2 linked regions of the Caenorhabditis elegans genome follow. Each later gene encodes a partner of the first gene's protein in a complex. Each region holds a gene or a part of one and is shown on either strand. Other genes may lie near its edges. The genes, in order: gld-2 and rnp-8. A codon is read from its position in the direction of its gene.

What was found.
Region 2: the proteins of gld-2 (region 1) and rnp-8 are in contact, whole or in part, in a crystal structure (PDB 5JNB), measured with the Caenorhabditis elegans proteins. Residues at the interface, in NP_491842.2 of Caenorhabditis elegans: Trp554, Asp564, Leu567, Leu571, Arg574, Tyr578, Val584, Phe585, Pro586, Leu587, Ser588, Gly589, Leu590, Tyr591, Val592, Leu597, Gly599, Met612, Ile613, Thr614, Asn615, Lys616, Leu618, Asp623, Val626, Val627, Asn629, Leu632, Ser633, Gln636; in NP_490724.1 of Caenorhabditis elegans: His182 (codon at 4,206), Pro183 (codon at 4,203), Val184 (codon at 4,200), Gln185 (codon at 4,197), Phe190 (codon at 4,182), Ile193 (codon at 4,173), Phe195 (codon at 4,167), Arg196 (codon at 4,164), Phe197 (codon at 4,161), Asp198 (codon at 4,158), Asp199 (codon at 4,155), Tyr200 (codon at 4,152), Val201 (codon at 4,149), Gly203 (codon at 4,143), Ala204 (codon at 4,140), Arg206 (codon at 4,134), Phe207 (codon at 3,792), Asp208 (codon at 3,789), Asn209 (codon at 3,786), Leu210 (codon at 3,783), Ala211 (codon at 3,780), Leu213 (codon at 3,774), Ile214 (codon at 3,771), Arg215 (codon at 3,768), Ser217 (codon at 3,762), Thr218 (codon at 3,759), Pro219 (codon at 3,756), Pro222 (codon at 3,747).

What each region holds. Positions count from the first base shown.
Region 1 is NC_003279.8:6,367,879-6,372,940, reverse strand, and holds the start of gld-2 (Poly(A) RNA polymerase gld-2), read right to left. Parts: upstream 3,194-5,062; 5' UTR 3,042-3,193; intron 2,977-3,041; 5' UTR 2,913-2,976; coding exon 2,873-2,912; intron 2,768-2,872; coding exon 2,579-2,767; intron 2,532-2,578; coding exon 2,408-2,531; intron 2,357-2,407; coding exon 2,286-2,356; intron 2,185-2,285; coding exon 1,953-2,184; intron 1,743-1,952; coding exon 1,612-1,742; intron 1,564-1,611; coding exon 1,435-1,563; intron 1,382-1,434; coding exon 1,297-1,381; intron 1-1,296. Other genes in the region: ZC308.4 (F-box domain-containing protein), read right to left, coding at 3,445-3,714, 3,762-3,929, 3,976-4,140, 4,193-4,508, 4,565-4,635. UniProt on the Caenorhabditis elegans protein: Cytoplasmic poly(A) RNA polymerase that adds successive AMP monomers to the 3'-end of specific RNAs, forming a poly(A) tail.
Region 2 is NC_003279.8:362,809-369,323, reverse strand, and holds rnp-8 (RRM domain-containing protein), read right to left. Parts: upstream 4,815-6,515; 5' UTR 4,806-4,814; coding exon 4,645-4,805; intron 4,589-4,644; coding exon 4,133-4,588; intron 3,794-4,132; coding exon 3,728-3,793; exon of another isoform or gene 3,681-3,727; coding exon 3,364-3,680; intron 2,672-3,363; coding exon 2,115-2,671; intron 1,579-2,114; coding exon 1,384-1,578; 3' UTR 745-1,383; downstream 1-744. Other genes in the region: icpp-55 (Aminopeptidase P N-terminal domain-containing protein), read left to right, coding at 78-549.

The sequences.
Region 1 (5,062 bases):
AACAATAATAATAAAAAAGGACGAAAAGGAGAGAAAGAAGAAGTCAGAGATACATAGGGACTGCCTGCAGATTTTCACTTTTTTCGTGGTCGGGTGAAAATCACAGTGAAAAAGAGAAAGATGAGAGTGAAGAAAGGTGTAAAGTGAACGGATAAATGTCATTTTACTATTTTAGTTCCACCTGCAGATGATTGGTAAGTTTATGAATTTCATTTGAAATATCTTCGATATTCTTTGTTTATCCGCTCATGTTAAAAAAAAAACTTTTAGTCCAATCAAGTGGAACACGCAACTTTTTAGATGCAATTTCCTAGCTGGCCTAGGTAGAATATATTCCTTGTGTTCATAAAGATAACATAATTCGACACGAACTATAATTCGGTCTCCTAAATATTATCCGATAGTCACTAAACTAATCATAGTTAAGTTCAAAAATCGAAACACTACGGGTATGATCAAGACGAAACACAGAAAATAGAGTAGAACAATAAAGATGTTCAGATCTGGAGATGATATCGTTTACAAGAGGAATGTCTCGTAGGCGTTGCCATTGGAAATGAAAAACTTCAATTTTGTCTAACTATTGACAATATAAACTTTTTAATCTATGCAAAATTACAGCCGCTGTTAATCGTGTTATTGTTTCCATTTTATGGAATTAGAAACTAAAAAATACAAAAGAAAAACCTGACAGAGGAAGTAAAACCGAGAAATTTCTAGAGACAAGATGATAAAACCAACAGAAAAGTGTATGTTTAAACTAATCGTAAGCAGTCTTGCAAAAAATCTTCAGAATTTATAAGTGTAAACTTGGTTTTTTGAGAAATAACATCAACATGAAAGTTGTCAAGTTACCGTTCTTCTCAGTTCTATAAAAAAATAACCACGAATTCTTGAATATCATGGATAAATGATCCCTTGAGTGTATTCCGAAAATTATTAGTTTTTCTTAATAGTCTAATATCCGATTTTCCACCATTGATTGTTGTTGATGATGAACTGGTTATGCTTCTAGTTACTAGACGGAGGACATTCTCTTTGAACAGTACAGGAAATGAGATGAGAAGATACGAATAAATAATAATGAAGTGACAAGGGCAGAGGACACATTCCAGCAATGTCATTCAAGATAATTATTAGTTAGCTGATGAAGCCGACAATGAGTTTCCCCGAATCTCAGAACTAGTATCAGAATAACGTGGGAAATATATAATTATATACTGGGCAGAAGACAGAATTCAGCATTTAAAGAACTAAAATTTAATTTGAAATAATTTGAGATTTGTTCCAACTAACCCGATTAAAGCACTTTGCATACGCTCGTTAGCGAAACACGGGTGTTTTGCATCGACACTGTCCGTTGGTAGTTCACTTGCAGAAGCTGAAAAAAGTAATTGAATAAAACATAAAGTAGAGCTTATGACTTGAACCAACCTCTAAACTGTGCAGCCCTCTCATAAGATGACACAGTTTTCTGCTGATTCGTCTGTACAATATCAACTGGCATCGTTTGATTGGCGGTCTTATGCTGGAGCTCTATTGAGGCTGGCATTGGATCCTGCCCTAAAAATATTACTTAGAAAATTTTTAAATGAAAAAAATAACACTCACCGCGTCTGAATTGTGGAGGAGGATGTTGAAACCGCGTCGGCCAATCCTCTGCTTGTTGCTGCTCAATCCGTTTATCGGAAGATGATGGTGTAGACGGAGGTTGTGGTGGTGGCTGTTTGTACGGAGATGGGCTATAAATTATAATTTTTAGATGAGATGAAATTAGATTTAGATAAAATACAAAGGCTCAAAAATTCTCCTGTAAAATTTAATTATCATTTCCCAAAACACAACCGCCAAAAAATGCCACTCTTTTCGAAGCAATAAACCATCTGGGCATTTATGGTAGATCAAATGAGAAACCTTCAAATTCGAAATACAGGCCTGGAAAACAAATTTACCATTGAGTATATCCACCCGGTGCGGTGCCAGCCGACCTGTACAAATGAATTTTAGGATCATGATTTTGCTCATGATCGCTTCCTTGATGATTCTTATCACTAGCTGGCTCAGCGTGCCTGAGCAGGATTGGAGGCTGCGTCGGAGCTCGGTTTGATGTGGAATTCGCTGTTGAGCTTGATAGAGCTGATGGAGATGGTGGCGATGACCGACGGACAGAATATGTGCCGTAACCTGAAAAAAATTTATTTATTCTTCATATTAGTTCAGATTATTATTTTAGGGGAGATATGTAAGGCTATTAATCTAAAATTATGTCAATCACAATTTCCTACCCTGGGTCGAGTTAAAAATTGGTCTCTGATGTGGTTGGAAGTAGGAATACTTTGGTTGCAGTTGAGGGTAACTGAAATACCGATTTTAATAGGAATAGCAAAAACGAAATTCGATTTTCTACTTTTGATTCCTTTGATGATATTTTGGGACACATCCCTGATTCCCAGAATACTCGCCATTCTGTTGATAATTGCTATTCCCGCGATGATTGTAACTGCGTCCGCCGCGCTGGTTATTGTAGGTTTCTGAAAATGAACAATTTGGTAGCAAGTCAATAATTTTTCTGACTGACGTCTTTTATTTCCTGAATGGTTGTTGTAGTATCCAGTGTTCCCATCCCTCGAAAAGCTTGTACGTCGTGGATGCGATTGCTGATATTGATGGTTTGACTGCTGATTATAAAATGCAAAGCCCCCACTTTGCTGCTGCACACGGCTTACTGAATCGACTGAAGGAGATCTGTTGCGTCGAGTGTGTTCGTCTGAAAAGATAAATCATAAATTAAAAGAATGAGAAGGTTGAGATTGGCTCAAAAATCGATTCTCAATTTCAAATAAAGTTTTGATTGAAAACTCAGATTGCTCACCGTTTCGTTCTGCATTTTTCTGCTGTTGAGCCATAACCATATTGGCGACAAAATTAGACGGATATCTCCGACGGAAATCGTCGGAAAAACTGCCAGAAAGCGAGCTGAAAAGCGAAGTTTAAATCAAATTTCAGCGCCTTTTCAATGCGTGGCGTTGGCGCTCGCTTACCGTATCTCGCGGCGAGACCCATGCACTGTGTCAGGTATTGCGCCTTTAAGCTGTGAAGAAAAAAAACCCTTTTGGCGTACGGTAGAATTTCCATGCGCAACTGAGAAACAGTTCGAATTCGGCAAGTCGTTGTGTTCTTGATTTTGCTGCATTTTCAGGGTAAAAATTGAACAAAAAATTAATTCAAAAACTAACGAAAAACGGAAATGATTCACGTGGAATGGTCACGTCGATATTCGAAAATGCGACGTGGAATTTCTTTTCGTTTCATTTTAAATGGTTTCACTGCTTCTAAACGAAAATAAAAATAAGATGAATTTTATCCAATATAATGTAAGACAATTGCAATAATTAATTGTATAGTTAGTGAATTTAAAATCCTTCAATATGAGAAATAAATGATTTAGGCATCAAATTCCACGTTGTTGTTCATTTTGATTGCCGTGAAACTCTCTTTTCCATTGGAGTCTTTCCCGAAATAATTTTCAAATACTGCTACCTTGATATTATTGTCAGTTGACAATATAGCACACTTTCGGTGTCCGGAACCCATAAAAGTTCCTCGCGAGTCTTCATATCGTTCCAATAGGGTTCTCCAAACGTTTAGAAGAGGTTCCTTGATGAAAATTGCAGTGACAGATGATCCTATGTGAAGGGTGTCGAGAAGAAGACGCTATAATACGAGAAATAAAAGGAGCAAATACCGGCGAAATGACTTACGTTACAAAGCAGAATAAAAGATTCGACGTAATTCAGTCCCAAAACCAATTCCAACTTCATATTGCTCAGGATACAATAGAAATTTCTGATGGCACTGTTCTCGTTTCCAACGGTGTACTCCTGGTAAATTGTTTCCTTTTTTAGTACAAGGTGTTTGCAACTTTTCACCTTAAAAACGTAAATTGAATGAAAATATAGACCATGCGTTTAATACCTGGGTTTCCGTCAATACGATCGATTCGTAATTGATTAATTCTAATTTCTCAAAAACATGGTTTTGGAAATTGATGAATTGAGGATATTCTCTAGCTCCGTTTAGAGTCCAAGAAATGGATGGAATTTTTAGGCTTTGAAGGTTTCGAAATGGACTGTCACTTTCCTGAAATGTAATTTATAATCAACAAGAATAATCGAAAAATGAATTCACAAACCCTGAGTTTGACATGCTGAACAATTCGTTGTGAAGCGGCCAGGTAATAATGAAAATATCTTCTGATTATTGACTTATCATTCGAGAATCTCACAAGTTCCGGGGCCAACAAACATTTGATTTTCACTTGATCCATGTTCTCATCGTATTCAAAAATATATTCAATTGACTCCACCTTCAAAATTCCTGATCCTACTTCTATTGGTCCTTCTTCACTGATTGCTCCGTAATCCTGAGAGAATGACATAGTCTTCAGTGAATAGTCTAATCGACTGTGAATTGATCGAAATTCTGGAGAAACTTTCGAAAGCTCCATTCTATAAAAAAATGTAATGCTTCACTGTTTTTAATCAGAAAAAAAAAATTAACGAACCTCTTACTGTAACTGAGATATGGGACGATTTTTAACAAATTCGGATACTGGAGAACACGTTCGGTGGTCATGATGAAGATTCAAAAGTTTAGAAATCACAAAAAATAAGCATTTCCATCTCTTCATTAGTACGCAGTTGAAATTATGTTTCCGCAATCGTCGCGCCTGCGCCCGTAGGTCAAAAAAGATTCCAGAGATGTCGCGTAATCAGGTCTACTTTAAATTTAAAACATAGTTCTCCTGTAATTTTGCCATAAAGCGTATGTATTATGCTATAGATTTAAAAACAGTCAAGGCTATACGAGAACAGTTTATTGTATGAAAAATTCAAAGACTCGAAAAAAAGACTAATCTCAAAAAAAGTAAAATTTAAAAAAAACATGTTACAGACTTGTAGAAAAATTATCTCACAGATTATCAAACTAGACAGGCATTGATGACAGTGACAGAAAATGGGTACACTATAACAAATTTAGTAGGTTAATAGAAGTAGCTACG
Region 2 (6,515 bases), 6.0 Mb from region 1:
TAAAGTTTAATATAATTCGAACGAAATTTGAAAAATCGTTTCAAAAAACCTTCCCAAAAAAAAATTCGTTTTTGCAGCTGGTCAGACGCCCAACTATCCCTCTACGAAGCGCTTCTCTACGTTCACGAAGAACTGCTCACCTACGCCCACTCAATGGAAAAAGTCCGCCTAAGCGCCCTGTTCCGCCGAATGAACGAACTTCTCGCGGCAAGTTTCACCGAACTCGGCCTGATTCGATCTACGGATCACAAGGAGATGATTCATCAGGCGGAGAAGCTGTGTCCCCACCACGTCAGTCATTATCTCGGAATGGATGTTCACGATTGTCCGACAGTATCCCGAGACATTGATCTACCACCGAATGTGCCATTTACCATTGAGCCGGGAGTGTATGTTCCGATGGATTGGCCTGTCAAAGAGTTTCGTGGCATTGGATACCGTATCGAGGATGACGTGGCGACTAGTGAAGCTGGAGGGATTGAGCTGTTGACTGCTGCAGTGCCAAGGGATCCCATCGAGATTCAGAGGCTCATGGGAACGGCCGAATAATTGTTTGAATGTGGAATACCGAAAGAATTGAGAAAATATTTTAGAAATTGCTCCAAATTTGGCCCTGATTTGATATTCCTTTGTTCAAACTTTTCGCTAAAAACATTCTCATTGGAGCGCGTTATGCCATGTGGATTTACGAGATTCAGTTTTACACATTTCTGTCGGTTTTTTTGCTGAAGATCTGCATTTTCGTGCCAATTGAACATTTTATTATCCAAAATTTTTTGCGAAAATTTTCAAAAAAATTAGTTAACTTTACACGAAAATCGATAACAATGATGAAACTCGTTGAAAATCTTAATCTCGTAAATCGACATGACTTTGCGCGCTCCAATGAGAATGAGGCTGGAGTGGCGGAAAAATAATAATTTAGAAAAATAAATATTTTCTTTTGAATTTTTCGGGCCAAATTTGGAGAGATTTCGGTACTGCGCCTCAAATGTTTTTTTTTTGTTTCTATAGTTTCCTAGTTTGTATTTTTTTTTTTGAAAAAACTCGCATTTTCATTGTTTTTCCTATCATTCCTATCAGAGGGGACTCGGGGGAACACAAAATTCAAAATTCACAGAAAACTAGGTGATGATGTTGCTGGAGGCAAAAGAACAAAAAAAGATAGAGAGGGTGGTGTTGGTGGTGGTGGTGGCAATATAAAAAATGAAAAATATAATAAAACAGGAAACGATAAGGCAATAGTGGGATAAAAACGGTATGAAACATCATTCAAACTGAGATTCAGCACAGGAATACTTGGGATGATGTGTGTATGTGTGTGGAGAGAACGAGAATTGCGAAAATGCAATAAGATTATATTATTGTATATGTGATCTTCTCCTATATTTGGAGCATTGTAGCTCCTGGAGCAGCAGCCGGAGCAGTAGACACTGCTGGAGTTGTATTTTCGATGATTGAAGACGCCTCGTCGAGCAGCATCTTCTCGTCGGCTGTAGCGTGTGGGCAAAAGTCCGACAGATCACCGACCAAGTGAGCAATCGATGGAACTGACGAGTGACGGCACATTGGGTATTCCTGGAAAAATTAATTAATTCATAAATATTTCGTGAAATTTTTAACAAATTATATATTTTTTTAAAGTTTCGCTTTATGAAATTTTTGAGTCTTTTGGCTCAATTTTTTCAACAAAAAAAATTAAGTTTTTCTGCAAGTTAAACAGGTTTTAGTATAATTTTCGCCACATCTGACGCGCATGGGTCTCGCCACGCGGATAACAGGTTACTGTAGCTCGTGTCGATTTACGGGTAATGCATTCGATATTTCAACCTTGGCAGCAAATTTTCAGAGGCACCACGTTTTCAAGTTGTTGGCACGGTGCCAGATCCGGAATCGCACCAGATCTTGAATCCGTGGTGCCTCTTTCGTTCTGCTCCCTTTTCGTGGGGCCTCAAAACTGGCACTTTGGGAATACATTTTCCGAGAAGCAGAAACTTCGAAAAAGGGGGGCGGGGCATAAGCAGTCACGCCCAGAAAATGGACAAAAATTTTGACTTTTTTGAACTTTAAAAAGTTGGGAATTTTTTCGGTAATTCAAAAAAAAGCCCCCGTACCGGAAAAACGAAATGCTTCTTCTCGGAATTCGGTGCTGCCGAATGAGAATTCGACGGAAGACGACTATTATTAATGTCGTCGTAGTTGATTTTCGGCTGCTCAACACATTTCTTCTCCGCGTTTTCGTTTCCTTCGGATAAGTAGGTTGGTGGTGGTCCAGTTTCAAAAACATCATCCTCAGTCTCGTGGAACTCCATTGTCTTTGGTTTGATCGGTGAGAACTCGGGCGACGCGACTTGTGCAGTTGATAGGGATCCACTTTCGGCGCGAAGACGTTTCAGCGGAGACCATGGTGCCGGTTCGTCATGATGATCGATGTTGGTTGGATTGATTCGGAGATTTCCAGTTGATACAATCATATCCGACAACTCGTCGTTCGTCAAATCACGCTTCACACCGGTTGTTGGTCCCAAGTGTTTTGTGATGAATGAGCAATTGTCGGTGTCGATTGGTGAGAGACTGTCGAAGGCCGATTGAGGTACACGAAGGCGACTGTAAGCGAGAACTGCCGGATCGTGTGGAGATGCGATTTTGTCGTCGTAGTGGCCGGATGGTTCTGGAAATTGATTTTTTTTGCAGAAGGAAAACCGAATTTTGGAAAATTTAAAATGATTTAAGTCGTTTTTTTTTAGAACTTTAACGAAGATTAAAAAAAAAATCGACGTAAATGAAGGAAGCTCGCTGGAAAACCAAGGTGTTCTGGCTCGACCCCCCCCCTCTCGAAAATTTTGGAAAATGGCGGGAAAAAATATTTGAAATCGCAAGAGGAATTTTCACGCAGCGCGTTGAAAAAGTGCATGCATTTGCGCGTGACGGTGTTTGCACAAAATACACCGAGGGGTCGAGCCAGAAACTCGCTGGAAAACTGAAAAAGCACGAAAGAAGTTAAATAAATGGAAAGCTCTCGTAAATCTACACGAAGCAAGCACGCTCCAATGAGAAATTCTTCGGGCGCGCATTTGAAAAAGTGATTAGCACACGAGAAGTCGAAAATCAAGAATTTTAAGTAAAAAATACCAAATTGTCTGCAAAAAAATGGTCAATTGCTGAGTATACTAGCTGCGTAAATCGATGAATTGACGTTTTTCGAGAAAAATATCCAAAAACTTGCAATTTCACGTGAAAATCGAAAAAATTATAGCAATTTTTCAGAAAAATTGAAATATCGCCAATTTTCGCGTGAAACACTATTTCGGGCGTATTTTCGAGAAAATTTGTTTTTTTCCCAAAATCTCCAAAAAATATTACTAGATTTTGAAGCATAAACAACTGGCGACGATGTTCTCGGGTATTGCTCATAGAAAAGCGATGGATTGATAACCGAAAGGTTCGGACGCTTCTTCTTGGCCACCTCATCCGCGTTTTGCTCCGATTGTTGTCTCTGAGCTATCTGAGCCAAAAACTGTTGTGGGGACAGCTTCTGTCCTGTGGTTGCTGCTCCGCCGCCGGCGTGGTGGTGGTCATCTTTCTTAATCTGCAGCTCCATTTTCCACGTTGGCGGGCCATGCTTTTGATCTTTTGCTGAATTCGTACGAGAACGAGATGTGCTTGTGGATTCACAAGGTCTGAAAAAAAAACCAATTTATTGATTTTCAAAATAATTCAAAAATACTTTTGATAATTAGCGAACGGATCCGTGGGGGTGCTCGAGCGAATCAGGTTGGCAAGGTTGTCGAATCTGAATTTTAAAAATTAGTTTTCTTTTTGCTTAAACAGATTAAAATAGACTGAAATTCGAAATTTCGCCGATTTTTCCTTTTCGCAGCAGCTGGAACACTTTGTTGCATATTCTGGTCATATTTCAACAAAAAATAGTGTAAAAATATAGAAAATCACTTGATTCGTCTGAAAATAAAATCTAGTACATCTAAAACATTCTAGAACATATATGGTGGAAAAATATTGATTTGCCGAAAATAATTGCCTGAAATGTGCCTAAATCAAGAAAAAACTGCTGCGCTACGGGAAAAGTCGGCGAAATTTCAGATTTTTTAGCGAAATTTGGCGAATTTTGCACCTTTTGGCTCCTTCCACATAGTCATCAAAGCGAAAATCGATGGGATTGAAGCCCGAATACTGCTGCACTGGATGATTATCGAACAGAGTCATTCCCGGGTACGTTTCGTTCGGATACTTGTTCTGATTGTACTGATTGTATCCACCGGCGGAACGTCGGCGTCCATAGCCCCCGCCGCCACCATTGAAACAGCCCGTCGAGTTTCGATGACCACGTGGATTCGGTGGAAGGTATGATGAAGCCTGTGGGTTCTGGTTTCGGTACTCGGGGAACGAGTGCTCTTGACGATACGAAGAATTCCCGGAATTTCCCTGATGTTTGACCTTCTCGAACATCGTTGAGATGGCCTCGCTGTTCGCGTGCGAACTTTCTCGCAGTGGACGAATGTGCAGCTGACGGCCGTGAAGAGTTGTTCCTTGAAAGTTTACGAGCACCTGATACAGGCCTTGAACAGTTCTGAAAATAGGAAAATTAGAGATTTAGATGAGGAAAAATGGAAAAAAAATGCCAACTTGAAAACAATGAGCGCGTGACGGGCGGCTCCATTGCGAACGATGACCTTCTCGACGTGAGCGACACGATTGAACACCTCGAACAGTTCTATGTCGGAGATTGTCGGCTGAAGACCCGAAACGTAGGCGGTTCGGTCGCAGCGATCCGCTTGACCATTCATCCCTGCAAAATGATGCAATTTTCTAAATTTTTGTTGGTTTTTTAACAAAATTTTCGTTGAAAATACGGAAATAATGCAATTTGTCGGTGGGAACTAGAAAAAATGGCCAAAATTACCGCAAAAATCGTTTAAAAAACATGAGAACTGGTCGCACAAATTCGAAAAATGAAAATAAGCGCGCACTCTTACCGTACTTGTTACATTCGGTGTGAGACCCAAACAAAAGTTTGATGCACGCGCCTTGAAATTTAAGCATTTAATTTTCAATGTTTATTCAATTTTTAATTGTTTTAAATTATTATCTTGTAGAATTTTTTGCTCAAAAGGTATAACGGTTAATTTTCTGTTTTTTTAAGTTAAAAAAATCAAATTAAATTCTGCGACTTTCCGCGGAAAACAAGAATATTTTCAAATACCGTATGTTTTCTGTTCGCTTCGAGACCCTGGCTTAAGTGAATTGCATGCGCCTTGAATACCTTTACGCTTGTTTTTTTCTCAAAATATTATGAAAAACAGATTTTTCAACCAAATTTCCTGAAAAAAATGTGAATTTTCAGCGTTTGGTTGTCGAAAATTTGAAATATATTCCATGAAAATTAATTTTTTTCCAGATAACGATGATTATAACGATAATTCCCTTTCTTCTTGTTTTTCTACCGGGTAAACACTGCGGAGATCTCGAAATTTCGGAAAGGGAGCGGCAAGGTATTCAAATGTTGGAGCAGATTAAGGGTCAGCGCTTGACAGGTATTTTTAAATTAAATTTCTTCACTAAATTTACTAAATTTAAATAAAAATTTCCAGCTGGACATCCACAATTCTTCGATCGAAATCTGGAACTTAATGCGAGTTTTCCTGCGTATAGTTAGTTTATATAATAATTTTTTTCTACTTTAATATTAAAAATAATTTCAGTCTACGGAAAGGACTCCATAAACCTGTGGATTCACTGGATGAGCTCACTACCACCGCTCCTTAACTGCTATCTTATCGTCGATGGGCTTCTCAGCGGCGAAATCGCTTCTACGGATCTGACGAATCAGCTATTAGATCGGGATATCGATTTTGATAGGATTTCAAGTTTCTACAAAACAAAATCTATTGGCGGATGGGATGAGCAGAGAGCTTTCGAGGAGATTGTCGGGAAAAGGAAGAACACTAAAGTTTATAAGGATAGAGAAGAAGCTGTAAATTTACTTAAGAAGCTCCCACATCTTCAACTACAGCGAGAATCACTGAAAAAGATCACCACCTCGCTGGATGCTTTTTTGCATTTATTTCATGATCTCCAATCTCTCATGAAACCAAAATACGGATGGGAGGCAACATGGGGCCTGAAAAATCGCCTGAAAAATTTCCGTGATTTTCTCTCGCCACTCAATGATCTAGCTCCCAGTCCTACTGCGATTTCCGAGGAGAATTTGCAAAAACTGAAAAAATGGTTTGAAGGTAGATTTTAATTAGAGGAATTTTTGTCTTAAAGTAAAGTTCAGCTATTAATATATAATAACAAAAAAATTGATCAGAATTTTAGTAAACACATTTTTCAAATTTAAATGTATTTTTCTCAAAAAACTTGTATAAATGTACATGCAAAAGCATTCCACATGTTTTTATTTTATAAGTTAAAAAATTAATTTTTAAAATGGACGTGGTTTGACTTTTAAACAAGTTTTACATTTAAAAAAAAGCTGTTGTACAAAAGCTGCT